4 linked regions of the Struthio camelus genome follow. The protein of the gene in region 1 purifies or fractionates together with the protein of each later gene. This does not show direct contact. Links are inferred from orthologs where the notes say so. Each region holds a gene or a part of one and is shown in the gene's direction. Other genes may lie near its edges. The genes, in order: SF3A1, XAB2, ZC3H18 and SNRPB2.

The links.
Region 2: the proteins of SF3A1 (region 1) and XAB2 fractionate together in Homo sapiens (co-fractionation; 3 studies listed by BioGRID and IntAct, with this or other methods). This does not show direct contact. The link is inferred for Struthio camelus from reciprocal best matches to the Homo sapiens genes SF3A1 and XAB2.
Region 3: the proteins of SF3A1 (region 1) and ZC3H18 purify together in Homo sapiens (affinity purification with mass spectrometry; 3 studies listed by BioGRID and IntAct, with this or other methods). This does not show direct contact. The link is inferred for Struthio camelus from reciprocal best matches to the Homo sapiens genes SF3A1 and ZC3H18.
Region 4: the proteins of SF3A1 (region 1) and SNRPB2 purify together in Homo sapiens (affinity purification with mass spectrometry; 5 studies listed by BioGRID and IntAct, with this or other methods). This does not show direct contact. The link is inferred for Struthio camelus from reciprocal best matches to the Homo sapiens genes SF3A1 and SNRPB2.

The regions. Positions count from the first base shown.
Region 1 is NC_090958.1:4,786,990-4,794,988, forward strand, and holds the start of SF3A1 (splicing factor 3A subunit 1), read left to right. Parts: upstream 1-4,998; 5' UTR 4,999-5,198; coding exon 5,199-5,264; intron 5,265-7,712; coding exon 7,713-7,825; intron 7,826-7,999. Other genes in the region: CCDC157 (coiled-coil domain-containing protein 157), read right to left, coding at 126-203, 852-1,545, 2,295-2,469, 3,387-3,634. UniProt on the Homo sapiens protein: Component of the 17S U2 SnRNP complex of the spliceosome, a large ribonucleoprotein complex that removes introns from transcribed pre-mRNAs.
Region 2 is NC_090972.1:3,512,500-3,519,794, forward strand, and holds the start of XAB2 (pre-mRNA-splicing factor SYF1), read left to right. Parts: upstream 1-4,288; 5' UTR 4,289-4,322; coding exon 4,323-4,382; intron 4,383-7,295. Other genes in the region: protein PET100 homolog, mitochondrial, read right to left, coding at 1,533-1,619, 4,058-4,084. UniProt on the Homo sapiens protein: Involved in pre-mRNA splicing as component of the spliceosome. Involved in transcription-coupled repair (TCR), transcription and pre-mRNA splicing.
Region 3 is NC_090951.1:2,518,329-2,525,406, reverse strand, and holds the start of ZC3H18 (zinc finger CCCH domain-containing protein 18), read left to right. Parts: upstream 1-4,064; 5' UTR 4,065-4,253; intron 4,254-4,930; 5' UTR 4,931-4,988; intron 4,989-5,041; exon of another isoform or gene 5,042-6,921; intron 6,922-7,078. Other genes in the region: lipid transferase CIDEC, read right to left, coding at 1-117, 200-341, 502-574, 1,084-1,357.
Region 4 is NC_090944.1:134,156,867-134,164,460, reverse strand, and holds the start of SNRPB2 (U2 small nuclear ribonucleoprotein B''), read left to right. Parts: upstream 1-4,581; 5' UTR 4,582-5,145; intron 5,146-5,519; 5' UTR 5,520-5,543; coding exon 5,544-5,607; intron 5,608-7,570; coding exon 7,571-7,594. UniProt on the Homo sapiens protein: Involved in pre-mRNA splicing as component of the spliceosome. Associated with sn-RNP U2, where it contributes to the binding of stem loop IV of U2 snRNA.

The DNA.
Region 1 (7,999 bases):
TACCAACACTAAGCACGAGCAATTCCAGGAAAGCCAGGAGTTACATATGTGTAAAACAAGTGTGAGATCAGAGCAAGATCTCTGGATGAGATCTGCCAGCTGGATGAAGCCTCAGGGATCCTTACCCAGCTCCTGCAGAGTAGCTTGCTTAGCAGCCAGCTCTTCCTTTAAGGTAGAGATTCGCTCTTCCAGCAGAGCAGCTCCTAAACCAATGAGAAAACTCAGCTAAACTTTTCACAGCTCTTCAATGAAACTAAAACAAGCAGGTAGCAAATGACTACGCCAAAGCATTCCTCATCCAGTAACAGTATCATGCTGTGCTTCAGCAGAGAGAAGTCAATGAAAGGACACGGACAACCCATTCCACTGTCTGAGGACAGTGTCTCACAGCAGGGACCAGGCCCGAGATGCTATATAGTGACAGGGCATGGAGAGTTTGCAGAGAGGTGGAAATGAGAGAGTGAGGAGTGGGGACGGAGGGCTTCAGCAAAGGAAGGTGGGAGATGATCAGGACATCAGGAAAAGCAGTGGTTCCAGTGCACCAACCCTTATCTGCTTCAGGGAGGAGCTCCTAAGAGTTGCTGTCAAGGGATAGATGAAGAGGAAACTTCCAAGCTAAAGGAAAGTCCACAGTAAGGCTTCTCTCTGGGTCTCTCAGCCACAGGACCATGGAGAAAACACCTGAAAGCTGAGGAGTGATGAACAGGCATTTGCTGATGACACTTGGGCCTATCAAAATCCATGGCAAAAGCTCTGCTCATTGCAGGGGGACCAAGACTTGATCATGGGCTCTGTGGCTCTCCTGCAAATCCCCACAATCCCAGGAGGGGATGCTGGAAACAACACTGTACCTCTCCGTAGGTCCTCCTTATCCTGCTCCAGTTTGACTACAGTCTCCAAATACTCTTTCTTCTTTACTTCCAGGGTCTGCTCAGCCTCCTTCCTCTGCTGTTCTTGGGTTTTCTTCTCTTCCTGAAGCAATTTGGCAAATTCCTCAACCTGCTTCTGCAGCTCATCCTTCTGTTTCTCTGATTCTTCCAGCTTTGACTTCAGAGGGTTTATCAGCTGCAGCAGCATGTGGAGATGTTTGCTGATCCGGGAGAGGTCCTTGCTTTGTTCTGAGGCCCAGTAACTCATGTCCATTGCAGAGAGGGTCCTTCTACCCATGGTCTCCTCCAATGTCTCGTGGAATCTGCTCAGAGCCGAGGGGATGTTCTGACTCTGGCAGATGCCGGTGATGGCTTTGCTGACCTCCCGGAGGCTGGCTTGTGCACTAGCACATGAGTCACAGGGTACCAGAGATGACTCAGTTGTCTGTGTGGGGATGCTGCGGCTGCATGTAGACCTGGGAAGCGAGTTGCCAGAGGTGTCACAGTCTGGCACGCTGACACTCTGCAGCAGGCACAAAGAGGTTGACTGGGCAATATCTATGGATGAGGTTAACTCCGAAACAGCAGGTGAACAGCTCTTCAAATGCTCCTTCTCAGTTTTCACACCCTCAGGGGTAGATTTCAGTGTGGAGATGTCTTTTGTGCAAGTCATCTTCTGGGGGAGAGAGCACAGAAGAAAAACATAGGGCCCAGATTGAACAGTGCAACCAAGACAGCTGCAAATGATCCAGATCAGCCTGAATGCAAAGGTGTTAAATGTGGGAATGGGACATCAGTGAGAGCGCAGCCAAATGGCTACGAGGGCAGTGAGGCCTTCTCTTGGAAGGAGAGAAGTTCCAGGAGCTTGGGGGAAGAACAACGTTACCAAGCAGTTGGGGGTTCCTATTTATTGTGCTCCATATCTTAAATATCTTACATATCCATATATTACAACCAAGACAAATGGCTAATGAACAAAAGATCAATTTGTTCACGCAGATCCTGGGTACTCCCTGAGGGAGGAAGCCAGGGAACTGAATTTTAAAAGCTGCTGGGTAGCTTTTCAGCCACTGATACCTTAGCCAGGTGGAGGCTGTGGTTTCACAGTGGAAGGCGTCTGCCATGAAATTTGCTTCCCAGCTCCTGCGCTGGTTACTGTCCCTTCCTTCACGCCTCCGTGCACTGTCTCAAGGTTAAGCCAGAAGACCTGTTATGAGACCATGCCACCTGCCAGGGCAGGGCTCCCTCCTGCTCTGTCACCCCTGCACCACCACACATCAGGTGGCATCCCAGAGGACTGTGACCTTAGCACGATGCTGCATGCAGGCCTGAGGCAGCTTCTGAACCAGGGGGGATTGAGGCAAGGGGTATTTCTGTGAGCCTTGCTCTCGGCTCATGGCAATTGAGGGCCCCCATATGTCCCACCTCAGTCAGGAGCTGCTTGTAGAGGGCTCCCAGTTTCAGCATGCTGTTCCAGTACTTCCGCACCGTCAGCCCCGCCGACATGCAGGGCCCCACTGCCTGCGCTGGGGGGATGGCTTTGTCGCTGAGCAGGTTTTCTGCATAGCCTGTGAAGCTCTGAAGCAGCAGGAGCAGCCTTCTTCGACAGAAACGAAACACAGCTTAGCGCAACAGAGTATTTGGAACAGGGAGAGGGCCCTTGGCATTTAACAGTGCAGGGCCAGGGCTGAGGCAGAGGTTCTCCTCCCTCCCCATTCCCTGCACAGTCTGAGTTGGTCCAAGGAGGCTGGATATCAGCCCCCACGCAGCTCCCCTCCTCTGTCCTGAATCGCTCAATGGAGCAACGTTTGGTGGGATTAAAATCCTCAGGCAGCCGCAAAGATGCAGACCGTGCACTCTGCTTGCAGGGGGTTACTCAAGGGGGACGTACTCTTGGTGCAGTCAGCCAATTCCAGGAGATTTGGGGCACTAAGGCTGCCAACATCAAGGCCAAATATCCAGAAGCAGCTCTGCATGAGCAGCTTGTCTTTAAAATTGAGTATTATTTTACTTAACCCAGGTCGCAAAGGGCACTTTTGCCTCCCAGGCTCTCCCAGGTAGAGCTGCGATTGGGTTCGAGCGTTCCCAGGGTTTTGGGGGGCTATTTAATGAGAGGGGCACCAAGCCAGGGACCACACAACAACCATTGCTTAATAACTTTCTAAAAGGTTAAAGGCCTTTGAGAGTCCCAACTGATCCACAGACCCCAATGTTGATCATAATGATGGCATCAGGGCCCAGAGTGCCTTCCCGGTAGCTCTGATCCCACCCGGGCAAGGGAAAGGACTTGGGTTTTAACACTCAGCGCAGGTGGGCTGGGCTCTGGAGCACAAATCCCACCCTTCCAACTGCAGGTGTGCCAGCACCTGTCTCCAAGCAGAAATGCAGCTACGTGGACACGTTTGACAGGTTGGATGCAGAAATGTTGCCTTCCTTCCAAAGGGAAGGAGCCACTGGACCAACCAGCCTTCTTTTAAAAGGAGTAGGGGATGGTTTGGGCTCGTTTTCTCTTCTCACCTGTCGATTACCAGCTCCAGCAGCACCACGTGGGAATGCTGGGTGAACTCGAGGTCGTTCTCCACGTAGTCGTAGTGCTCCAGCAGCTCCACCAGGTCCAGCTCGCAGGATACTTTATCGGGGAACTTCCAGGAAGGGTAGCGAACAGCCCCAGCCCGGGAGAAGACGTCGGCGATGGCTCCTTGCAGGTCCGTGATGTCAGCCCTCAGGCTGTCCATGCAGGTGGGGCTGCCCAGGAGGTGCGCCATGCCGGGGTGGCAGGATGAGGCTCCGCAGCTCCAGCCTGACTCAGCCCACGGGCCGCCCCGCCGCTGTGCTGCGTCCGATGAGCTCCTGGTCCGATGGGGAAAGGCTGCGGAGGCCGGCCGGCTGCCGGGCTGCAGGCGGGAGCTCTGCGGGACCGAGGCTGAGCTGAGGCCAGCCCAGGGTAGGGACACACATGTGGCACCAGGTCAGATCCTACGTGCCAGGTCAGACCCTAGGCGGCAGGATGGACCTGTGCACTGGAATGGACCCCATGCACCAGGATGGACCCCACGCGCCGCGATGGAGCCTGTGCGCTGGGACAGACCCCACACACTGGGACAGACCCTGCACGCCAGGATGGACCCCCTGCACTGGGATGGACCCTGTGCGCCAGGATGGAACCTGTGCGCCGGGATGGACCCCACACACTGGGATGGACCTCATGCACCAGGACGGACCCTGTGCGCCAGGATGGACCCCATGCACCGGGATGGACCTCATGCATTGGGATGGACCTCACGCAGCGGGATGGAGCCCGTGCACCAGGACGGACCCTGTGCGTCAGGACGGACCCCACGCACTGGGATGGACCTCATGCACCAGGATGGACCCTGTACGCCAGGACGGACCCCACGCACCAGGACGGACCCCACGCACCGGGACGGACCCCACACACTGGGATGGACCTCATGTACCAGGACGGACCCTGTGTGCCAGGACGGACCCCACGCACCGGGATGGACCCCACGCACCGGGACTGATCATACGTGCCAGGATGGAGCCTATGGGCCGGGACGGACCGTGTGTGCCAGAACGGACTCCGCGCGCTGTGCGCCGCCGGGCCGTGGGGGTCTGTGCCGGCAGGGCCACGCGGTGGGGCCTTGGCGGCGCGCCGGGGGGAGCCAGCGGCGGGTCCCGGGGAGGACGGCAGTCTGCGGGAGGGCCCCGGGGGCGCGGGGGTCCCCGGGGGGATGTGCCGAGGCGGCGCGGAGGTGCCCGTGGGGGGGACACGCACCCACCTGCCGCCGCGCCGCGCCGCTCCGACCCCGACCCCAGTCCCGGCCCCGGCCCCGCGGCGCGACCCGCTGCCACGGCAACCGCGCCAGGCCACGCCCCGCGGTGAGCCCGCTGCCACGGCAACCGCGCCAGGCCACGCCCCGCGGTGAGCCCGCTGCCACGGCAACCGTGCCAGGCCACGCCCCGCGGCGCGCCCGCCGCCACGGCAACCGCGCCAGGCCACGCCCCCGAGGCACGGCCCACTGCCCCCGGCCCCCGCAATGGAACGCTCCTCCCCCTCTTGTGGCCCGTTAATGGCACTGTCCCCGGCGCATGCGCCCTGCTCCTTCGTCGGCCCCCGCCCCCGGGCGACCCGTACTCCTCGAGCCGCGCGTGCGCCCGCGCTTCGCCTTCGCGCGCAGCGTGCGTCACACCCGGCGCGCGTGCGCAGCTCGGAGGGGCCGGCCGCCATTTCGGCCGTGGTGGTGAGGGTGCTGCGGGGTTCCGGGCAGCGGCGGACGAGGAGCGGCTCCGGCGGGGAAGCGGCCCCCGTCGCCCCGAGGGATCACCATGCCGGCCGGGCCCGTGCAAGCGATGCCTCCGGCGCAGCCAGCGCCGCCCGCGGAGGGCAAGCCGGTACGGGCCGCGCGGGAGCGGGGCGGCCCGGCCCGCTGCGCCCGGAGGGGCCGCAGGCCGCGCCCGGAGCCCCTGGAGTCCGTCGGCAGCTGAGGCGGAGGGGCGCTCCGGCTCTCCTGGCGTTGAGCTGGGGGTGCGGGGGCTCGCTCTGCTTTTTATGGGTGTATATTTTGGATGCAGAGGCAGCGTTTTGTTCAGTGCTTCCTGTTGCGTTTTAGCGATCCGGGCTCGTTGGGTTTATTTTGGCCGGTGGCTTCTGGGTTTAACCCATTTCTCTTGGTTTTGGGGCGGCTACATTTCCATCCTGTTATTTTTTGCTGCGCCCATAGGACTCACCCGCGGTTCCCTATACGTCTGCGCTAGCTGGGTGGGGCAAATAGTTCACTTCCGGGTAAGTACGGATCCTTTCGTGGAAGCTGCAGAGGATTGTGATTGTGATGGAGGTGAATGTTTGCTGTTAACTGTGGAAGCAGCCCTGCCCTTGGGAGGGATGTGCAAAAGCTTGGAAAAGACTCAAGAAACCTGTCCTAGAGGGACTTAGGGGACTCAGTCTCTCATGTTCTTCTAGGGCCTTCACATATTCTTGCTTGTTCTGTCTCGGTCATGTTCACCTCCTCAGGAGCCTTTTTTGGCCTTCTGTAAAAGCCAAAATCATATGTTGGTGACATATGGTTCTAGCGTAGCTTTAGCTGCCATCCTGGTTGTGCGTTCTTGGTGTTCCCCACGCTAGCGTTAGCATTAGTGCAGCCATGCAGTAAGATAGGGTAAGGAGCTGATCTAACTGAAAATCTGTCTCCTGCTCCTGGTAAGGTTAATTTGAACGAGTATGTTGAACTGGCCTGTTTTATGGCCGTTAAAGCTGTAGGGTTAGTGCACAGGGTAGAAGTGCAGCAGCCTGGACTGATGTTGGCTAAGGCTACAATGCAGCTGCTCCTGGAATATCGCTGCTTAGGTGATTTGGTGTAGCAAGTGCAGTTAGGAGGAAAGCTGTAGCTCCCGATAAATACCCTGTCACTTTCATAGATGTAAATTAACAAGGTGACTCAGCATGGTATTCAAATAAAAATGTCCCTCAAGCGTGGTATTGCCTTCTCCTTCTGGTCCTCTGATGTTCTGGTTCTCAGGGAATGGGAGTGAAAAGTAGAAAGGTTTATGATGCCTTTTTCCTTACAGAATACTTTGTTAAAGTTGTATTTTGCACGAATCCGTCTTCTGACTTGGAATCACCAACTTCTGACACAGAATCAGCAAAACTAGTAGCAGCATAGCGGTGTTTTAAAACTCCCCTGACCCTCACTTTTAAGATTACAAACACTTCTCATGTATCTCCTGTCTTTTATAATGGTGTTTTTTGTGAAAATTACTTGCTAAGACAAGAGGGGAGATATCTTTCCTATCCTGCAAAGAACAGCTTCTTATCTTACTGAAAGATAAAACTATTCTTGGGAAGAGTTCTGTGATTTTTAGTTTAGAGCCTACTGTAATATCTGTGAGGAAAATACCTTGCTGAGTTTAGCCTCTATGAAAAGAAGCTTCTGATGCAACCTCAATATGATTAAGATCTATGGGATTTTTTTTTAATCTAGATGTAATCATTCAGGTTCTAGCTTTTTGTAGTTCCACAAGCTGCTGGGAGTGTTCATAACTTCCAAACCTATTTAGCAATGCTAAATTATTCCCGCATGTGTTCTTACAGGCGGTCTCTTCCACTGCCTCTTGCCACAGTGTTTATAACCTACTCAGGGTCAAGGCTGAAATACTAAAAATGCTGGAAAGACTTATTTATGGTTCCCATGGAGCGGCCTTCCTTTTTATTGCCTTGCTATGTCAGCCTCTGCAGTAAATGCCCTTGACAAGCAGACAAATATTATCTTCTCACCCTGGGAAGCCAGGAATGGGCTGTTGATTGAGATTGTTAAACCAGTTAGAGCAGAAAGGATAAGACTTTTGCATCAGAATAGTAAAATGATTTGGGGGCTGGGGTACAGAATAGACAGTTCTGTCAAGCGTTTGGGTTGCTGGTTAGAATACTTGGTTCTGATACAGCGTTCATTAAGCCTTTTGTAAAGGTATGCTAGGATTGTTATTTCCAATACAGATAAGGAAGCAGAGAGAGAAGGGAAATTCATTTTTCGAGCTAACCGATTCAGGATAAACCCAGTCTCAGTTTGCAGCCTGTCAGAACGTGCTTTCACACCCTGATGCTGGTGGATAGCCTGTTGTTCAAATATTATTTGAATTTCTTTATCTTATCAGCTTTGATTTAGGTTATTACAGCTTAGTATCTTGACATACTGATTGCAAACTCTGCAATGAAAGATCTCTTCCTGTACTATCCTATAACCATCTTATGAATGATGAAGTGGCTGACAGGACTGTTTTAGTTACAAGGCAGCAGTACAGAGGACTGTAGGAAATTATATATATCTATCTATATCTTTCTTGCAGCCAGAAGAGGAGCCAAAAGAGGAAGCAGCACCAGCCAAGCCTGTGGTAGGAATTATTTACCCTCCTCCAGAGGTCAGGAATATTGTTGACAAGACTGCCAGCTTCGTAGCCAGGTAAATGATGCTAGTGTTGTGTCCCGTGTTTTCAGGGTTTTCCATGCCTCTCTACCTCCAGTGCTCCTGTCTCTGTGGATCTAGAAACTGGAGCAGTCGCTATCCTATGACTTGACATGAAGGGAAAGAGAATTGCAGGTAAAAAGGGAGCTTACTTACCAGTGCTCCATTTTA
Region 2 (7,295 bases), on another chromosome or scaffold:
GTCCGGGGACCCTCCCTGGCGGCAGGGGCCCAGGCGTCCGGGCACCCCGGGGACCCTCCCTCGCAGTGGGGACCCAGGCGTCCGGGGACCTTCCCCGGCGGCAGGGGCCCAGGCGTCCGGGCACCCCGGGGACCCTCCCCCGCAGCAGGGGCCCAGGTGTTCGGGGACCTTCCCCGGCGGCAGGGGCCCAGGCGTCCGGGCACCCCGGGGACCCTCCCCCGCAGCAGGGGCCCAGGTGTTCGGGGACCTTCCCTGGCGGCAGGGACCCAGGCGTCCGGGCACCCCGGGGACCCTCCCCCGCAGCAGGGGCCCAGGTGTCCGGGGACCCTCCCCCGCAGCAGGGACCCAGGCGTCTGGGCACCCCAGGGACCCTCCCTCGCAGTGGGGACCCAGGCGTCTGGGGACCTTCCCCGGCGGCAGGGGCCCAGGCGTCCGGGCACCCCGGGGACCGTCGCCGGCGGCAGGGGCCCAGGCATCCGGGCACCCCGGGGACCCTCCCTCGCAGCAGGGACCCAGGCGTCCGGGCACCCCAGGGACCCTCCCTCGCAGTGGGGACCCAGGCATCCGGGGACCTCCCCCGCAGCGGGGGCCCAGGCGTCCGGGCACCCCGGGGACCCTCCCCCGCAGCAGGGGCCCAGGTGTCCAGGGACCTTCCCTGGCGGCAGGGACCCAGGCGTCCGGGCACCCTGCGGACCCTCCCTTGCAGCAGGGACCCAGGCATCCGGGGACCCTCCCCCGCAGCAGGGGCCCAGGCGTCCGGGCACCCCGGGGACCCTCCCCCGCAGCAGGGGCCCAGGTGTCCAGGGACCTTCCCTGGCGGCAGGGACCCAGGCGTCCGGGCACCCTGCGGACCCTCCCTTGCAGCAGGGACCCAGGCATCCGGGGACCCTCCCCCGCAGCAGGGGCCCAGGCGTCCGGGCACCCCGGGGACCCTCCCTCGCAGCGGGGGCCCAGGCATCCGGGGACCTTCCCCGGCGGCAGGGGCCCAGGCGTCCGGGCACCCCGGGGACCCTCCCTCGCAGCAGGGACCCAGGCGTCCGGGCACCCCAGGGACCCTCCCTCGCAGTGGGGACCCAGGCATCCGGGGACCCTCCCCCGCAGCAGGGGCCCAGGCGTCCGGGCACCCCGGGGACCCTCCCCCGCAGCAGGGGCCCAGGTGTTCGGGGACCTTCCCCTGCGGCAGGGGCCCAGGCGTCCGGGCACCCCGGGGACCCTCCCTCGCAGTGGGGACCCAGGCGTCCGGGGACCTTCCCCGGCGGCAGGGGCCCAGGCATCCGGGCACCCCGGGGACCCTCCCCCACGGCAGGGGCCCAGGCGTCCGGGGACCCACCTCCGCAGCAGGGGCCCAGGCGTCCGGGCACCCCGGGGACCCTCCCTCGCAGCAGGGACCCAGGCATCTGGGGACCCTCCCCTGCGGCAGGGGCCCAGGCGTCCGGGCACCCCGGGGACCCTCCCCCGCAGCAGGGGCCCAGGCGTCCGGGCACCCCGGGGACCGTCGCCGGCGGCGGGGGCCCAGGCGTCCGGGCACCCACCTTCCTGCGCACCACGTGCTCCTCGAAGTAGGCCGCCTGGTTGGACACCCAGAACATGCTGACGGGGAAGGACAGGTAGAGCAGCATCTGGGGACGAGGGGACGTCACCGCAGGGCCGGGGACAGCGCCCGGGCACCCCCTGCCCTCGCGGGGGCGTCCCCAGCGTCCCCCTGCCCGGGCGGGACGTCCCCAGCGTCACCCTGAGCTCGTAGGGTGTCCCCGGTGTCACCCTGCCCGGGCGGGACGTCCCCAGCGTCACCCTGAGCTCGCGCAGCGTCCCCGGTGTCACCCTGCCCGGGCGGGACGTCCCCAGCGTCACCCTGAGCTCGCGCGGCGTCCCCGGTGTCACCCTGCCCGGGCGGGACGTCCCCAGCGTCACCCTGAGCTCGTGCGGCGTCCCCAGTGTCACCCCACCTGGGCAGGATGTCCCCAGCGTCACCCTGAGCTTGTAGAGTGTCCCCGGTGTCACCCTGCCCTCGCGGGACGTCCCCAGTGTCACCCTGAGCTTGTAGGGTGTCCCCAGTGTCACCCTGCCCGGGCGGGACGTCCCCAGCGTCACCCTGAGCTCGTGGGGCATCCCCAGTGTCACCCCACCTGGGCAGGATGTCCCCAGTGTCACCCTGAGCTTGCGGGGCGTCCCCGGTGTCCCCCTGCCCGGGCGGGACGTCCCCAGCGTCACCCTGAGCTCGCACGGCGTCCCCAGTGTCACCCTGAGCTTGTAGGGTGTCTCCAGTGTCACCCTGCCTGGGTGGGACGTCCCCAGCGTCACCCTGAGCTCGCGCAGCGTCCCCAGTGTCACCCTGAGCTTGTAGGGTGTCCCCGGTGTCACCCTGCCTGGGCGGGACGTCCCCAACATCACCCTGAGCTCGCGCGGCGTCCCCAGTGTCACCCCACCTGGGCAGGATGTCCCCAGTGTCACCCTGAGCTTGCGGGATGTCCCCAGTGTCACCCTGTCTAGGGAGGACGTCCCCAGCGCCACTCTGAGCTTGTGGGATGTCCCCAGTGTCACCCTGCCCAGGCAGGACGTCCCCAGTGTCACCCTGCCCTCATGAGGCGTCCCCACTGTCACCCACAGGAGCAGGATGGTCCCCCCCCCCCAGTGCCAGATGTCCCCTGGTGTCACCCTGCCTGGGCAGGACGTGTCCCGGGGTCCCCAGCGTCACCAGCCCGGGCAGGACAGTCCCCCTCTCCCCAGTGTCAGATGTCCCCTGGTGTCACCCTGCCGGGGTGGGGCAGCCCCTTCCCCCCCCCGGTGTCGCTGTCACCGCTGCCAGGGCACAACAGTCTCCCCAGTGTCACCCAGGATGTCCCCAGTGTCACCCGCCAGGGCAGGGGACACCCCCCCACTGCCCCCCTCGGCCTTATCCGCCCCCCTCCCGTCCCTGTCACCCCCCCCATCGTCCCCCTCTGGCCCTGTCACCCCCCCGTCGCCCCCCCATCGTCCCCCCCGGCCCTGTCACCCCCCGTCACCCCCCTCAGCCCTGTCACCTCCCGTTACCCCCCCAGCCCTGTCACCCCCCTCAGCCCTGTCACCCCGTGTCACCCCCCACTGCCCCCCCACGACCCTGTCACCCCCCCCGTCAACCCCTGTCACCCCCTCAGCCCTGTCACCCCCCTGTCACCCCCCACTGCCCCCCCCGGCCCTGTCACCCCCCTCGGCCCTGTCACCCCCTGTCACCCCCCACTGCCCCCCCCACGACCCTGTCACCCCCCCGTCAACCCCCGTCACCCCCCCAGCCCTGTCACCCCCCCGTCACCCCCCCAGCCCTGTCACCCCCCTGTCACCCCCCACTGCCCCCCCGGCCCTGTCACCCCCCTCGGCCCTGTCACCCCCCCGTCACCCCCCCGGCCCTGCCACCCCCCCGTCACCCCCCTCAGCCCTGTCACCTCCCGTTACCCCCCATTGCCCCCCCAGTCCTGTCACCTCCCACTGCCTCCCCCCAGTCCTGTCACCCCCCCTGTCACCCCCCTCGGCCCTGTCACCCCCCACTGCCCCCCCCACGACCCTGTCACCCCCCTGTCACCCCCCACTGCCCCCCCCACGACCCTGTCACCCCCCCGTCACCCTCCCACTGCCCTGTCACCCCCCTCAGCCCTGTCACCCCCCCGTCACCCCCCACTGCCCCCCCCACGACCCTGTCACCCCCCCGTCACCCCCCCACTGCCGCTCCGGCCCTGTCACCCCCCCTCGGCCCTGTCACCCTCCTGTCACCCCCCACTGCCCCCCCACGACCCTGTCACCCCCCGTCAACCCCCGTTACCCCCCCAGCCCTGTCGCCCCCCCGTCACCCCCCCAGCCCTGTCACCCCCCTGTCACCCCCCACTGCCCCCCCACGACCCTGTCACCCCCCGTCACCCCCCCGGCCCTGTCGCCCCCCCGTCACCCCCCCAGCCCTGTCACCCTCCTGTCACCCCCCCAGCCCTGTCACCCCCCTGTCACCCCCCACTGCCCCCCCACGACCCTGTCACCCCCCGTCACCCCCCCGGCCCTGTCGCCCCCCCCCGCCCCCTCCGCCCTCACCCACCCGAAACACCTCCAGCTTCACCCCCATGGCGGCTCCGCTCCCCGCTTCCGGCCCCCGCCCGCCGCAACAAGCCCGCCGCCCATTGGTCGAGCTCCGAGCAGCGGCGCCGCCCATTGGCGGAGGGGGCGGAAGGGGTGGGGAAGGGCGGGGCGAGGGGAAGAAGCGGCGGCGGCGGCGGCAGCCAATGAGCGCGCGGCGCGGCGTGACGTCATCGCGGCGCGCCGGAAGCGGGCGCGGGAGGGACGGGGCGGCGGCGGCGGCGGCGATGCCGGAGCCGGAGGCGCCGCCGGTGGCGGCGGGCGCGGGGCGGGCGGAGCTGCGCTTCGTGAGTGGGGGCGGGAGACCCCGGGGGGGCGGCGGGGGGGTCTCCCACCCCCCTCCCCCTTTTTGGGAGCCGGTGGGGGAGGGGCGCCCCGGGTGGGGGAGGGGCGGGGGTCTCCCACCCCCCGTTTTGGGAGCCTGTGGGGGGAGGGGCGGGGGGTCTCCCACCCCCCTGTTTTGGGAGCTGGTGGGGGGAGGGGCGGGGGTCTCCCTCCCCCCCCTTTTTGGGAGCCTGTGGGGGGAGGGGCGGGGGTCTCCCACCCCCCATTTTGGGAGCCTGTGGGGGGAGGGGCGGGGGTCTCCCTCCCCCCCCTTTTTGGGAGCCTGTGGGGGGAGGGGCGGGGGTCTCCCACCCCCCATTTTGGGAGCCTGTGGGGGGAGGGGCGCCCGGGTGGGGGAGGGGCGGGGTCTCCCTCCCCCCCGTTTTGGGAGCCTGTGGGGGAGGGGCGGGGGTCTCCCACCCCCCATTTTGGGAGCCGGTGGGGGGAGGGGCGCCAGGGTGGGGGAGGGGCGGGGGGTCTCCCTCCTCCCCCCCTGTTTTGGGAGCCTGTGGGGGGAGGGGTGGGGGTCTCCCACACCCCTCCCCCGTTTTGGGAGCCTGTGGGGGGAGGGGCGGGGGGTCTCCCACCCCCCATTTTGGGAGCCGGTGGGGGGAGGGGCGCCAGGGTGGGGGAGGGGCGGGGGTCTCCCTCCTCCCCCCGTTTTGGGAGCCTGTGGGGGAGGGGCGCCCGGGTGGGGGAGGGGCGGGGGTCTCCCACCCCCCGTTTTGGGAGCCTGTGGGGGAGGGGCACCCCGGGTGGGGGAGGGGCGCCAGAGGGGGCTCCCCGGTTTTGGGACGTCCCCCCGTCCCCCTCGGTGTCCCCGCGCCCCCCCGCGTCCCCCCGTCCCCCTCGGTGTCCCCACGCCCCCCGTGTCCCCCTCCCCACATCCCCGTGTCCCCCTTGGTGTCCTCGCGTCCCCTCTCTGTGTCCCCTTGTCCCCCTTCCTGCATCCCCATGTCCCCCCCGGTGTCCCCGCGCCCCCCCCCCCACGTCCCCCCCGTGTCCCCCCCCGCCCCGCCTCCCCCTGTGCCCTCAGTGTCCCCGTGTCCCTTCTCTTTGTCCCTTCCCCGTCCCCCCCGGTGTCCCCACGTCCCCCCCCTCGCCCCGCGCTCCCTCCCGTCGCCGCCCTCGTCCCCCTCGCGTTGCTGTGCCCGCGTCCCCCTCCCACGCCCCCTCTGCACCCCCGCCCCCCCGCGTCCCCTGCTGTCCCCGTCCCCTCGCCTGCCTGTCCTCCCCCCGTCCCCTGTCACGTCCCTTGCTGCGTCCCCGTTGCCCCTCGCGTTCCTCTCCGCCTGTCCCCAGCCCCCTCCCCTCTGTCCCCGTGGCCCAGCCCTGTCTCGTCCCCGCGTCCCCGTCGTCCCCGTCGTCCCCGTCCCTGTGTCACATCTGCGTCCCCGTGTCCCCGTCCCACCTCACGTCTGCGTCCCTGTGGCCCCGTCCCACCTCACGTGTGCATCCCCACGTCCCCGTCCCATCTCACGTCTGCGTCCCCGTGTCCCCGTGCCCCCGTCCACCTCACGTCTGCGTCCCCGTGTCCCCGTGTCCCCGTCCCGTCTCGCGTCTGCGTCCCCGTGTCCCTGTCCCATCTCACGTCCGCGTCCCCACGTCCCCGTGCCCCCGTCCCACCTCGCGTCTGCGTCCCCGTGTCCCCGTGTCCCCGTCCCGTCTCGCGTCTGCGTCCCTGTGTCCCCGTGCCCCTGTCCCACCTCACGTCTGCGTCCCCGTGTCCCCGTGCCCCCGTCCCATCTCGCGTCCGCGTCCCCGTGTCCCCGTGCCCCCGTCCCACCTCACGTCTGCGTCCCCGTGTCCCCGTGTCCCCGTCCCGTCTCGCGTCTGCGTCCCCGTGTCCCCGTGCCCCCGTCCCATCTCACGTCTGCGTCCCCGTCCCCACGTCCCTGTCCCATCTCACGTCTGCGTCCCCGTGTCCCCGTGTCCCTGTCCCATCTCATGTCTGCGTCCCCGTGTCCCCGTGCCCCCGTCCCATCTCGCGTCCGCGTCCCCGTGTCCCCGTGCCCCCGTCCACCTCACGTCTGCGTCCCCGTGTCCCCGTGTCCCCGTCCCATCTCATGTCTGCGTCCCCGTGTCCCCGTGCCCCCGTCCCATCTCGCGTCCGCGTCCCCGTGTCCCTGTGCCCCCGTCCACCTCACGTCTGCGTCCCCGTCCCCACGTCCCTGTCCCATCTCACGTCTGCGTCCCCGTGTCCCCGTGTCCCTGTCCCATCTCATGTCTGCGTCCCCGTGTCCCCGTGCCCCCGTCCCATCTCGCGTCCGCGTCCCCGTGTCCCTGTGCCCCCGTCCACCTCACGTCTGCGTCCCCGTCCCCACGTCCCTGTCCCATCTCACGTCTGCGTCCCCGTGTCCCCGTGTCCCTGTCCCATCTCATGTCTGCGTCCCCGTGTCCCCGTGCCCCCGTCCCATCTCGCGTCCGCGTCCCCGTGTCCCTGTGCCCCCGTCCACCTCACGTCTGCGTCCCCGTCCCCACGTCCCTGTCCCATCTCACGTCTGCGTCCCCGTGTCCCCGTGTCCCCGTCCCACCTCACGTCTGCGTCCCCGTGTCCCCGTCCCATCTCACGTCTGCGTCCCCATGTCCCCGTGTCCCCGTCCCGTCTCACGTCTGCGTCCCCGTGCCCCCGTCCCACCTCACGTCTGCGTCCCTGTGGCCCCGTCCCACCTCACGTCTGCGTCCCTGTGGCCCCGTCCCACCTCACGTCTGCGTCCCTGTGGCCCCGTCCCACCTCACGTCTGCGTCCCCGTGCCCCCGTCCCACCTCACATCTGCGTCCCCGTGTCCCCGTCCCACCTCACGTCTGCGTCCCTGTGGCCCCGTCCCACCTCACGTCTGCGTCCCCACGTCCCTGTCCCATCTCACGTCTGCGTC
Region 3 (7,078 bases), on another chromosome or scaffold:
GGCCATGAGCACCGTGCCCTCCTCCAGCGTCCGGAAGAAAGCCTCCGTCTCCACGGCCGTGCCATCCTCATCCAGGACCAGCGAGACAGGCTCCGGCGCGAGCAGGGTGCTCTGAACCTGCAAGGGGTGATGGTGATGGGAAGGGGGAGCCAGGCCAGACGGAGAGCCCCGCCAGATGGGCGGAGGGCCCCCAGCTCACCTGGAGCAGCAGCTCAGCGAGGCTCCGTGCCATGATGCCCTTGCGCAAGCTGCGGTCCCAGTTGCAGACGCGGTAGGGCCGGGGCCGCGGCGCCGGGCTCCACAGCAGCTGCTGGGTCATGGAGGCACTTGCGGAGACGCATCTGGGGTGGGACGGAGGGATCAGAAGGGCTCTGGAGACCACCAACCCCAGGCAGTGCCATCCCCCCAAGCCCTCCCTGGAGACCAGGGCATCCAATCCAGGGGCCAAGAGGTGCTAAAGCAGAAAGGGCTCCAGTGTCCCCCCCCAGGGCTGGCACTTACTTGGAGATGGGGTCAGTTAGGCGCGAACTCAGGGACTTGGCATAATCCATCTCAGCAAGGAGCACGGTCGAGCCTGCCAGGAGGCAAGGATTCAGCCCTGGGCAGCAGCATCCTCCAGCCCCTCACCACCTTCAGGGAGGCCCCCTCCCACCAGCCCTGAACCCCCAGCACCTGCCCACACGCAGCTCCAGCAGGGTGGTGAACCAGCACCCCAGCACGGCTGCCTTTACGCAGGGGCTGCGCCTGCCCTTTGGCCGGGGCCAGGCTGGAGGCGGCAGCCGTGGCAGCCTCTGCCCGCCAGGCTCTTGCGCAAAGCGGCACGCGGGCCCCTGAGTCAGCGCTGGAGCAAAGGTGAGACGCAGACACGGGGCAGCACCTTTGCCTGGGCCCCTTCAGGGGAGCAACAGGGTCAGAGGTGTCCACAGCACCTCCAATCCCAGTCCCACCCTCGCAGCTCCAGGCTCCCCTCCAGCAGCCTCATTGCTCCTGAGCATCCCCATCCCCATCCCCATCCCCATCCCCATCCCCATCCCCATCCCCATCCCCATCCCCATCCCCATCCCCATCCCCATCCCCACTCACCTCCAGCAGACACCACACCCCCTGCACTAGCTGTTCCCACCCACCCCACTTGCCCTATATACCTGCCACCCACTGGCTCCACCCCCCTCAGGCCCCGCCCCTGCTGCCTGAGCCAATCCCCAGCTGGCACAGGGGGCGGAGCCAGAACAGGGGGGCAGGGCCAGCACAGGGGGCAGAGCCAGCCTGACACTCCCGCCCCACTGCATGGGGCAACGAGTGAGCACCCTCCTGGGCTGCCCTGGGTGAGCATCCTCCTGGTCCCCTGAGCAAGCATCCTCCCAGCCCGCCCCAGGCGAGCGCCCTCCAGCCCGCCCCAGGCGGGCATCCTCCCTCCCAGCCCACCCCGAGCGAGCGCCCTCCAGCCCGCCCCAGGCGAGCGCCCTCCAGCCCGCCCCAGGCGGGCATCCTCCCTCCCAGCCCGCCCCAGGCGGGCATCCTCCCTCCCAGCCCGCCCCAGGCGGGCATCCTCCCTCCCAGCCCGCCCCAGGCGGGCATCCTCCCTCCCAGCCCGCCCCGAGCGAGCGCCCTCCAGCCCGCCCCAGGCGAGCATCCTCCCTCCCAGCCCGCCCCGAGCGAGCGCCCTCCAGCCCGCCCCAGGCGAGCATCCTCCCTCCCAGCCCGCCCCGAGCGAGCGCCCTCCAGCCCGCCCCAGGCGGGCATCCTCCCTCCCAGCCCGCCCCAGGCGAGCGCCCTCCAGCCCGCCCCAGGCGAGCATCCTCCCTCCCAGCCCGCCCCAGGCGAGCATCCTCCCTCCCAGCCCGCCCCAGGCGAGCGCCCTCCAGCCCGCCCCAGGCGAGCATCCTCCCTCCCAGCCCGCCCCAGGCGAGCGCCCTCCAGCCCGCCCCAGGCGAGCATCCTCCCTCCCAGCCCGCCCCGAGCGAGCGCCCTCCAGCCCGCCCCAGGCGGGCATCCTCCCTCCCAGCCCGCCCCAGGCGAGCGCCCTCCAGCCCGCCCCAGGCGAGCATCCTCCCTCCCAGCCCGCCCCAGGCGAGCGCCCTCCAGCCCGCCCCAGGCGGGCATCCTCCCTCCCAGCCCGCCCCAAGCGAGCGCCCTCCAGCCTGCCCCAGGCGAGCGCCCTCCAGCCTGCCCCAGGCGGGCATCCTCCCTCCCAGCCCGCCCCGAGCGAGCGCCCTCCAGCCTGCCCCAGGCGAGCGCCCTCCAGCCCGCCCCAGGCGGGCATCCTCCCTCCCAGCCCGCCCCGAGCGAGCGCCCTCCAGCCCGCCCCAGGCGGGCATCCTCCCTCCCAGCCCGCCCCGAGCGAGCGCCCTCCAGCCCGCCCCAGGCGAGCGCCCTCCAGCCCGCCCCAGGCGAGCATCCTCCCTCCCAGCCCACCCCGAGCGAGCGCCCTCCAGCCCGCCCCAGGTGGGCATCCTCCCTCCCAGCCCGCCCCAGGCGAGCATCCTCCAGCCCGCCCCAGGCGAGCATCCTCCCTCCCAGCCCGCCCCAGGCGAGCATCCTCCAGCCCGCCCTGTCTGAGCACCCTCCCAGTGCCCAAGTGAGCACCCTCCAGCCCACCCCGAGCAAGCACCCTGGAAGCGCCCCAGGGAGAGGGAGCATCCTCTGGGCTGCCCCAGCAAGCACCCCAGCAGCCCACGCTGAGCGAGCACCCTGCGCTGCCGGCTCCACGGAGCCTGGCTTCCCAGCACGCTCGCCCCAGGGGATTCTCCGCTGGCTGCTAGTGCGGTTGGGCTGCCGCGGGCCCCACGGCCCTGGCTCAGCCCCTGCTTGCATGAGGCAAGAGCATCCGGGACGGCTGCCCTGCGCCGTCCGAGGCCACGCCGGGTCTGCGAGCCAGGAGAGCGGGCAGCAGACAGCTGGCTCCCTTGGGAAGGGCCGACGGGCTCGGCGCGGCGGGGTTGCAAAAGCGCAGCCCGAGCCTGAGGCGGCCGGAGGCGAAGGCGAGCGGCCCGGCCACAGTCCGTGGCCCGGTGGAGACGCTGGCCCCAGGAGCGCGTGCCCGGCCCCCAGCCCCGAACCGCCGTCCCTGCTGCTCTGGAGCACCCCCGAGGCGCCGAGCTGCTCCCAGCAAGCCCGGCACGGTGCTGCGTCCTGGCGCTCTGCCGCCGGCGCGCTGGGCAGGTTCCCTGCGGGCTGCCGCCCTCCGGGGCGTTGCCGGCCCCGGCGCGGGCAGCAGCCCCTGCGGAGGGCTCGGTGCAGAGGGCCTGGCCGCTGCCCGGCTGGGGGGACTGCCCGCTCCGTCCTCGGGGGGCCGGGCCCGGCCGCAGCGCCACGGGGAGGTGCTCCCAGGGCCAGGCGGGCTGCGCCGCTGCCGGGAGCCGTCGCCTGCACGTGTGCCGGCATGCTTCTGCGTGCACGTCCATACGTCCTCCACGTGCACGTGTGCACCTGTAGGTCCAGGTGCGCACCACCACCTGCATGTATGCTCCCAAGAACACCTATACGCCCAGCTCCGGGCGTGCACGCGTTTAGGTCTGCCTTAGCGTGCGCGCGCACACGTCTGCGTGCACGCAGGGGTCTGACTGCACGTTCACAGGCGCGCCTAGCTCGGCGAGCGCACCTGCACGGCTGCGCGCCCGCGGACACGCGTGTCGAGCCCCCGCCTTCGCGCACGCGTGCGCCCCTCCCGGCGTGTGCATGCAGGTGCTCGCTCCGCTTGCATGCCTCCCACCCCCCCCGCCTGCCTGCGGGAACCCCCCCGCCTGGGTGTTCGTGCACCCCCCCCTCCCCACCTGCACCCGTCTGCACCCGCCACGTGCGCACGCGTGCATGTGGACTCCTCCACGCGTGTGCGTGCAGGCGAGCCCCCCACTACCCCGGGCGCGCGCGCCTGCACGTGCACCTGCCCGCACACGCGCGTGTCCCCCCCCCCCCGACCACCACCCCGCCGCCAGCGCCCCACCCACGCGGGGCCGCCGAAGCGCGCGTCCCCTTTAAGGCGCGGGCGGGGCGGTGGCGGCGCGCGTGCGCGTGCGCGCGTGCGCGCGAGCAGGACGAGCGCGCCCGCCCCCCCCCTCCCCGGCGCGAAGGCCGTCGCGCCCGGATGACGTCACGCCATGGCCGCCCTGCGCCGCCGCGAGTAGAGGCCCCGGCCCGTCCCGCGCCCCGCGCCGGAGCCGCTTCCCCGCCGCCGCCCGCCGCCGTCCTTCTCGCCCCGGCTCCCGGCTCCGGCCTCGGCTCCGGCTCCGGCCCGCCCCGCTCCGCCCGCCCAGGTGAGCCGCTGCCCGCCTGGCCGCGCTCCGCGGGCGCCGGCCGCGGCCTAGCGCCCGCGAGGGGGGGCGGGCCCGGGCGCCGGGGAAGCGGGGGAGGGGCGGCCCCGGGCGGGGGGCGCTGGGAAGGGGGGGGGGCCGTGTATTTGGGGAGGGGGTCCTGGGATGGGGGGTCAGCCCCGATGGGGATGGTGTTTGGGGGGAGGGGTCAGCCCAGTGGGAGGGGGTCCTGGGATGGGGGGTCAGCCCAGGTGGGGGTGGTGTTGGGGGGGGCAGCCCAGTGGGAGGGGGCCCTGGGATGGGGGGAGCTTAGGGAAGGGGGGGGCAGCCCAGGTGGGGGGCCCTGGGAAGGATCTAGCCTAAGTGGGGGTGATGTTGGGGGGGGGGTCAGCTCAGCTGTGTGGTGGTGAGGAAGGGTTGGGGGGCAGCCCTGGTGGGGGGTGCTGAGAGGGAGGGGCAGCAATGGCTGGAGGTGGGGTGATGGGGGACAGCCCTAGTTGGGGGGGGACTGCTAGGATGGGGGGCACCCCCCAGATGGGAAGGCTGGGGGGCACAGCCTGTAGTTTGCGGGAGGATTTGGGTGGGGGGGGTGTTGAGGGGGAAGAGTCCTAGTTTGGCGGGGGGGGGAGTGTGCAGCCTGGCCACCAGGTACAGGAAGGGCTGACTGTCTCCCTTCGCAGGCAGGTGGGAGCAGGGAGAGCTCCAGAAAGACCTCAGCCTGGCAGGAGGCCCTGTGAGGTAAGGGAGGCCCCAGGGGAGCTGGGGGCAAGGGGGTGGAGAAGGACTGGGGCGCTGCAGCGGCCACGCATTCGGGTGCTTTCTCTGATGGGTCAGGAGCGTCCTCGCTGACTGCCACGGGATGGGGAAGTCGCGCTGCCCAGTCCTCTGGGTCGACAGGGTGGTCTGTGTGCTGCGCACCCGTGCAATGCCTGTTGGTCTCGCCTGTGCAGCGAAACAGCAGCTGTAAGGCTCTCTCTGCTCAGAGCTCTGGTCACTTTTGTAAGTGTTCCAAAATGTGGCTGCTGCGGGTGGTTTAAATTCTATGAGTTTCTTCAACAGAGCTCTCTCTTCTTCAGAGCTGTTCTTTTTGGGATGTGCACTAACAATTTTTTATTTTATTGCCATCAGTAATTCAGCTTTTCTGACACGGCCATTAACAGCGCTGTTTTGGCCGTAGCAAGAGCAGCATCTGCAAGGTGTGATTCTTTCTCCTGATCTTCTTAAGGTTTGTCTAGGTTAAGGAAAAAGGTCAAGGTCTCTTCCTAATCAAGTCAATTCCTTGCAAGCCATCTCATCCAATGTTCTGAGTGGAATGAGACTCCAGAGCGTGATTATTTATGAATCCTACAGAATGCAGGAACAATTGCACTTATTTTTTCTCATGGGAATGAGGCTCCTGTAATTCAAAGTTAATGTTCAGTGTGGAGCTGCAGAAAGAGTGATGCATGTCCTAGTAACAGGAGAATCCATTACACTGTGAAAACAAACTTCAGCTATTTACAGCTTCATTTTTGTTCATGTTCAGGTATCAGTCTTAAAGCCTGCCTGACACAAAGCAGTTGACTAGCACTAGTATGGTGTTTGGTGTTAAAATTCTGGATCAGACCTCTGTAAGCTCTTCTTAAAAAAAAAAAAAAAAAAAAAAGCTGAAAATGGCTGTCACCAAGTAGTTCTCTCAAATTAGTACTGAGAGGCAGCTTAGTTTTCTGCATTAAAAGGTTTTCTGACAGCTGCTAGAAAATTGAAGTTTGTTATGCATCTTCAAAGTCGGTGCTCCTCTAAGGATGTCAGATAGGTATGTATTCTATTTTAATTAATCCTGTTAACAATCAGAGTTTCATTCAGAACAAAGACCTGGGTGCTCTGCTTTTGTTCTACGCATCCTTTCGGCTTTACATGATGTTCCTTTTCTAGATTGTGATGCATCTTATTTCCTTCTCTTCCTGTTGTTGCTGCTCTTCCACGTTTTCCCCATTGTGATTCCCTCCATTCATTTCTGGTTTGCTTCTGTTTTCCACTTCTGTCCCACAAATGTTTTTGTGCTCTGTTTCTTTTTTAGCTTGTCCTGTCAGCCCTATTTCTCATTCTTTCCCCTCAAACCCGCCCATCATTCTTCATCCATCTTTGTGGCTTGACTTAGGCCATGCTCTAGAACTTCCTTCTCTTCTGCATAAGCCCCTGCCATTTATGCATCTCATTAACTGTAAATGTTTTGATCTTGCATTGAACCATGTTTGGCTACTAGAAATGAGGAAAAAACACTTTCTGCTGCCCCAAAGACTATTGAGAGAGAGAGGCCTCCCTTCTACCTTACCAGCAGCTTCAGAAGGTGCTGCTATTTTCTTGCTTCTTTCCTGGCATCTATCTGGAGGTGTCTGTCCCACAGCCCCCATGGAGCTTTGAGTTCTCTGCTTGGTGGGGCGGGGGGGGTATGGCACTCAGCTATGGACTTTTTTCTTGCCATCTGACTGGCAATTTGTAGGATTTCAAGGTTGGAGCTGACAGCTCTGTCAAGCTCCAGCTTTATGTCGAGTACTCGGTGCTTTCCTGAGGTGCTGGGCTTGTCCGCGACGTTAGTTTCCACGCTGCTACATCCAAGGTGCATCCTTTGTTCGTTTGGAAGAAGCTTTTTTCGGCACCATAGAGGCTGAACCTTGGAGGGAGGAATTTTGTGAGTGGAAATAATGCTTGCCAAGAATATTTTTCTTAGTGGCTGTGTACTTCAAATCCTATCTTAACTGACAGCTTTACTCTATAGATGGTGTGATGCGTTAGAGTAAGCTGCCTGCTTGAGGTTAGCAAGCTAGTCTTTTCAGTAGTAGTTCCAG
Region 4 (7,594 bases), on another chromosome or scaffold:
ACACTATTCTCTTCCACCAGTAAATAACATCTCAACCAAGAACTTATTTTTTGCTTTTACATTCAACTCACTTTAATCCACGCTGTTCTTTATAAGTTTCCTAAATACAAGTTTCCTGTTCACCAATGCACGCAGCATGGGGAATAAGCAGGAAGAATTAGAGTTGTGTGTGTGGTCGCAGGGCCATGATCTCGTTGCAGTTACAGAGACACGGTGGGATAGCTCACATGACTGGAATGCTGTCATGGACAGCTATGTGCTTTTTAGGAAGGACAGGCCAGGAAGGCGAGGTGGTGGAGTTGCTCTTTATGTGAGGGAGCAACCAGAATGTATGGAGCTCTGCCTAGGGGTAGATAAAGAACAGGCTGAGAGCTTATGGGTAAGGATTAAAGGGCAGGCTAACATGGGTGACACGCTGGTGGGGGTTTACTACAGGCTACTTGAACAGGAAGAGGAAGTTAATGAGGCCTTCTACAGACAACTGGAAGTAGCCTCACGATCACAGGCCCTGGTTCTCATGGGAGACTTCAACCACCCCAACATCTGTTGGGAAGACAGCACAGCTCGGCACAAACAGTCAAAGAGGTTCCTGCAGAGGATCAATGATAATTTCTTGACCCAGGTAGTGGAGACGCCAACAAGGACAGGTGCAACGCTAGACCTTGTACTAACAAACAAAGAAGGTCTAGTTGGAGATGTGAAGGTTGGGGGCAGCCTTGGCTGCAGTGACCATGAGATGGTGGAGTTCAGGATCCTACGAGGAGGAAGCAGGGCAATAAGTAGGACTGCAACCCTGGACTTCAGGAGAGCTAACTTTGGCCTCTCCAGGGACCTACTTAGGGGAATCTCATGGGATAGGGCCCTAGGAGGAAGAGGGGTCCAGGAAAGCTGGTTAATATTCAAGTATCACCTCCTCCAGGCTCAAGATCAGTGCATCCCTCTGAGTAAGGAATCCAGCAAAGTGGGCAGAAGACCTGCATGGATGAGCAAGGAACTCCTGACAAAACTCAGACAGAAGAAGGAAGTCTACAGAATGTGGAAAAGGAGACAGGCTACTCGGGAGGATTACAGGGACAATGTCAGAGTATGCAGGGATGCGTCAAGGAAGGCTAAGGCCCATTTGGAATCAAATCTACCAAGGGATGTCAAGGACAACAAGAAGGGCTTCTTCAAATCCATCAGTAGCAAAAGGAAGACCATGGGAAACGTGGGCCCACTACTGAATGTGGTGGGTGCCCTGATGACGAAGAATACAGAGAAGGCAGAGTTGCTGAACACCCTTCTTTGCTTCAGCCTTCACTGCTAAGGCCAGCCCTCAGGAATCCCAGACCTTGGAGACCAGGGAGAGAGTCTGGAGAAAGGAAGACTCTCCCTTGGTCGAGGAGGATCAGGTTAGAGATCACGTAGGCAAACCTGACATCCATAAATCCATGGGCCCTGATGGGATGCACCCACGAGCGCTGAGGGACATCATTGCTAGGCCACTCTCCATCCTCTTTGAAAGGTCCTGGCAATCAGGAGAGGTGCCGGAGGACTGGAGGAAAGCCAGCGTCACTCCAGTCTTCCAAAAGGGCAAGAAACAGGACCCAGGGAACTACAGGCCTGTCAGCCTCACCTCCGTCCCTGGAAAGGTGATGGAACAGCTCATCCTGGAGGCCATCTCTAAGCACGTGGACAAGAAGGTGATCAGGAATAGTCAGCATGGCTTCACCCAAGGGAAATCTTGCTTCTGTGATGGGATGACTGGCCGGGTAGATGAGAGGATAGCAGTGGATGTTGTCTACCTGGACTTCAGCAAGGCTTTTGACACTGTCTCCCATCACATCTTCATAGATGTAAGCTATGAGGTAAGCTCAGGAAGCACAGGCTAGATGAGTGGATGGTGAGGTGAATTGAGAACTGGCTGGATGGCAGAGCTCAGAGGGTTGTGGTCAGTGGCGCAGAGTCAAGTTGGAGGCCTATAGCTAGTGGTGTTCCCCAGGGGCTTATACTGGGTCCAGTCTTGTTCAATGTATTCATCCATGACCTGGATGAAGGCACAGAGTGCACCCTCAGCAAGTTTGCTGAAGATACTAAACTGGGAGGAGTCACTGACACACCAGAAGGCTGTGCTGCCATTCAGAGGGACCTGGACAGGCTGGAGAGGTGGGCGGAGAGGAACCTCCTGAAGTTCAACAAAGGCAAGTGCAAGGTCCTGCCCCTAGGCAGGAAGAACCCCATGCACCAGTACAGGCTGGGGGGTTGACCTGCTGGAAAGCAGCGCTCTGGAGAAGGACCTGGGAGTGCTGGTGAACAACAAGTTAAGCATGAGCCAGCAGTGTGGCCTTGTGGCCAAGAAGGCCAATGGGATCCTGGGGTGCATTAAGAAGAGTGTTGCCAGCAGGTCGAGGGAGGGGATCCTGCCCCTCTGCTCAGCCCTGGGGAGGCCTCACCTGGAGTACTGTGTCCAGTTCTGGGCTCCCCAGTACAAGAGAGACATGGCACTCCTGGAGAGAGTCCAGCGGAGGGCTACCAAGATGATGAGGGGACTGCAGCATCTCTCCTGTGAAGAAAGGCTGAGAGAGCTGGGCCTGTTTAGCCTGGAGAAGAGAAGACTGAGAGGTGATCTGATCAATGTGTACAAGTTTCTGAAGGGGGAGCGTCAAAAGGATGAGGCCAGCCTCTTCTCCGTGGTGCTCAGCAACAGGACAAGAGGCAATGGGCAGAAACAACCACAGGAAGTTCCATCTGAACCTGAGGAGAAACTTCTTGACTGTGAGGGTGACAGAGCATTGGAACAGGTTGCCCAGAGAGGTAGTGGAGTCTCCATCCTTGGAGATATTCAAAACCCGCCTGGACACGATCCTGAGAAATATGCTCTAGAGGACCTTGCTTGAGCAGGGGGGTTGGACTAGATGATCTCCAGAGGTCCCTTCCAACCTCCACCATTCTGTGATTCTGTGTGATTCTGTGATAACATATTTTCCTTTTACTGGGGAAAACTCCAGAACGTGGAAGTCATTTTTTTTTCTTAAAATGTGACTGAACTGACAACCCTTCCTAATATTCCTGTCTCACTACAAAGGGATAAGTTTCACTGTGGACCTGTCCAAATCAGTTTAAACAAGAACCATCTTAAGGATTATATTTTCCCCCAAGAGCTTCTTTTTCACATGCGACCAGGTTAAATCTTCACAACATAAAATTGCTTCTGAAAAAGTCTGTAAGATCATTCATAAAAGTAAAGGCATTCTGCCTGCAAAATTATTCCAAAAATTCAAAGGTTGCAACCTCAGAATCTCTGCTCTGTTTATTTATCCTGAGGTACTGTTACTGCAGGGATTGTAAAAGTATCTTCAAGAAATTAGATACATTGCCTTTTCAATCTCCAAACTGAAAACAAATGTCAGTTAATGAATATTTGTCTGCAGGTGTTTTCAAATTTCTGCTTTTCTTTACTCTCCATGAGTTCATATGTTGACAAAAGAAGCAAAAATCATAGTTAAGTTTGCTCAGTACTCTACTTGAACGCATCAGAGCTAAGAATTGGGGAAACAAATAGTGAAATACATGTACTAAACCCCTAATTTAATCAGTTTTAAGAGTCGCTGTGATTTCAGTGAAGCCAAACCTACTACTCCCTCTTTCACCCTGGGACTGATTCAAAGCAAGAAGATGGAGTTCACAGAGGTGTTTCTGTGGGCTTCAGTGGACCTCACACCAGGCAGGTTCTCTCTTAGGTGCGTGCCTGGCTGGATGCCCCGGAGCAGCGTGGCTCCTCAGCTCTGCGCAGTCGCTCTGCAGGCAAGGCCAAGCCGGGGCTCCCTGTGCAAGGGCAGGCTGTGCGGGCGCAACCGCAGCAGCCAGAGCCAGGCCGTCACCCGCGCCAGCTACCTTCTCGGGGCTCGCTGAGGGGGGAAGCAGGGCCGCTGCTGAGTGTGCTTTGCCGACTTGCAGTTTGCCTTATCCTGCTGTTTCACCTGCACTATAGGAACCGGTTCTAGAGATTTCCATCCCACCTCCCCAAATATGAAAAGAAGATAGAAAAAAATCTGTAAAATATTCTCTCTTCTCCATCTGAGGTATACAAATTATCTTACTAAGGTTAACTGTGACTTGGATGCAGCACACATAAAGAGCAGGGAAGAGAGTTTGGATTATTTTCACACAAGCTTTTAATTGTGTTGTAATGAGGAAGACAGAGGGGCTGCAGTAAGACACGAAGAACTAACTGCGAGTGACGGTTTTCAGAAAGAAATTTGAGTTCTAAACTAATAATGTGGTGTCATTGACTCACAAGAAAAAATGCATTACGGCTTTTATACCAATTTCTATTGTATGTAGTTTGATAACTGGCAATAACGCTTTTGTTTAATAATTGCTAAATGATATGTAAAAAATAATTGCACTGTGCATACATTTTTTATTATCTCTACCGAGAAGGTGGAAACAGCCACAGAACAAACGATTCACACGCAGTCAGCTAATCTTTGTTATTTAAACCAAGCTATTTGTCTAACGGTTTTACGATGCATTTTCCCTTTTATCTCATTGCCTTTGGAAAACTAGCACAGCAACAACGATGGAAACGTTTGAGGAACCAGATAAGCATAGTATGAGAAAAACAAACACTATTTTCTCCTCCGGGAACCACTGGAGCGACAGGCATTACTCTCCTCCCTTCGCTTTGCAGGGATGTAGGGTGCTTTCTTTCTTAAATACTGCCTACAGGCCACGTCCTCATCAAGGAGCCTGACGACTGAATTTTGCAGTGCTGCCAGGCTCTTGTTCGAGCGCGATGGAAAGCACTGCTGCTCAGGTCGGCTTCAGGGTCAACACAGCTCCGAGCAACGAGCTCAGCTCTGAGCTGAGAGGGGGAAAAAAACCCTCTCTCAGCTAGACTCCCAGGTACTTCGTGCCAGGAGGGCCTGTTTCCACACAGAGCGCAGGCGGCGCGAACAAGGAGGCGGCACTTGGAGCCACACAGGACGGCAACGCGCCCAACCGCCGCCCAACCTGCCACTGCGCACGCGTCAGCCGCGGGCGGGGCGACATCGACCCGCCGGCGCTCGGCACATCGATTGCGGCGGGATCGGCTCGTCAGCTTGCGCTGCGTGAAGAGGCGGCCGGCGCAGCGCGGTGCGGCCTCCATCTCGGCGGGGAGAGGTGAGCCAGGGCGGCGGCGGCGGCCTGCCTGGCCCCGGGGTCCCGGCCCCGCTCCCGGGAGAGGCATTGGGGTCCCCGTCGTGTTCTGGGCCGCTCCGGGGGGCCCGGCCGTGGGGCCGCGGCCGCTGGCGCGCGGGGGGCGGGGGGGGTAACGTGCTCGGGCCGGGGCGTCGCGGCGCTGCGGTAGGTGCGGGAGCGCTGTTAAACGGCCGGGGAGAGGGGCGGGCGGTGGGGCCCGGCGCGCTGCCGCTGCGCTTTCCGCGCTAGTTAACCAGCTCCTGGGTTGTGGGGCGTCCGCGGGGCTGGCGGCGCCTCCTTTGCCGGGGCGAGCCTTCATCCGTTATAACGTTGCGATGCGTGTGCTCTGTTTGCAGGCAGGTGTGTAAGCGAGTTGGAGGATGGATATCCGGCCAAACCATACGATTTACATCAACAATATAAATGACAAGATTAAAAAAGAAGGTATGAATGTCTGTGACTCTTATGTTTAGTAGAAAGCCGTCGCATATAAAATTCTCATATATAAAAGGTCAAGCTTATACTGGCCTGCAGTTTTTACTGCTCTGGAGCCTAAGCTCAAAAGCTTATGTTTTGGTAGCATCTCACCCTCAAAGATCCTCTAAGCTGTCTAGTAATGTACTGCAAGTGGTGATCATGAACCAAGTTCTCAGCTGTCAAATCTTTTTCATGAAGAAGTAGGTAAAGTTAGCCAGCCTTGGACCATGCGCAAGTTTTTCCACAAGCTGGAGTTCTTATTTATTTTTAAGGAAGCTTCTGATTGCTTGTATACTGTAGTTGTACAGCTAATCTTACAGATTAAGCTTGTTTATCCTTAAATAAGTGTAATCATAGTAGTCATCTAATATTCTGATAGGTTACTCCTAACAGGCATGTTTGTGTATGTTCAGGTGGTCCCATTCACTGAAAGTGGAAATATCTGTATGCTTGTTTTTCAATTTAATGCCTTAGAAAATCACTGAAAGTGGCATAAGCTAACTTGTTTCCCTTCATTGTACTGGAGACTTGATGTATGTATGCGGTTACTGAGGTCCTCTTTAGAGAGTGATAATTTCTTGTTGAGGGTTTTTAGCTCCTCACGATGTGCTAATAAGATCACTTGTTCTTATCTGGTTGTGTACTCAATGTCTGTGTGGGACCATCTGGCTCTCCTTTTCAATGTTTATGCATAATTCTTAATCTAAAAGGGATAAAGATAATTTAATACTGTTTGTGAACAGTGGGTTGCTGGATCAGACACTAGCCTTGCTTAAACATTTCTTTTGGGTATTTCAGAGAGTGATCTGAAAGTAGGAATAACTTTGCCAGTACACTATCGATTTGTCAAGATTGTTCCACTCAGTAAATTAAACTTAGTGGTTCTCTTATAGCATGTTATGTACTATGAACTAATAAGTGCCTGGTTATTTTTAAAATGTAGAATTGCAAGTTGCCAATAATATCAGGCTTACAAACCAGATTTCTAGTACGTCTTTTGAAGTTATTTTTCTTAATGTTTGATATGAAAACTTTTATTTTTCCCTTATTCACATCTGAAGCTTCTTCTGCATTCATTGCTTTGTAAGGCAACTTCCTTCACAAGTTCCCTTGATTGGTTTCCTGTTGATTCTGATCTTATACAGAGCTGTAGCTGATCAAGAACAGTTGGGAAAAGTGACAGTGGGCTGGTACTAATGAGTCTTAACAGCAATAAACAAAAGTCAGCAGAAATACTTCAAATAAAAGAATTGAATAACATAAGAAATATTAAGTTTGAATGCACTACAGAGGATTTGGGATTTATTTATGTTAACTGGATAAGATTAAGGTTTAACTTGATGTGGAGTCAGATGATTTTTTTTATCATGAAAATAAATCTGTAGCAACTGTAAGGGATAGTGTGATTATGTGAAAACATATTCCAATCTAGAATATGAAAAAAATATTTCAATATGCTTGAAAGAATGAAATTTTGTTTGCAACAGTCTGATTTCAAACTTTAACTTGCCTTATGTTTATTTTGATTAATTACTAATTTACAGTATTTTCTTTACGTCGTACTACTTTACTGCCATGTGTTATGGCATTGTATACTACTCAGTATTTGATGGCTGTAATGCATAATACTTCATGTGTACATTAATCCTTGCATAATTTATACTCCCTTAGAATGGTAAAATGGATGGAGGTACGACTTTTTTGCTAGTTGAATACTTGTAAGTTGGCATATAACACTTGGTTTTGCATTATGAAAACTGAGCAAATGAACTTGGGCTCATGCAACAACTTTGGCTAAACTAATGTAACAGATTACTACTTCAGCTAAAAGTAGCAAAAAGTACTGTCCCTAGAGAACAACAAACTTCATAAAACTGAGCATTTGCATATAACCTATGATAATAAATGTGTTTTTCCATACCCTCAACAGAGCTGAAGAGGTCCTTGTATGCAT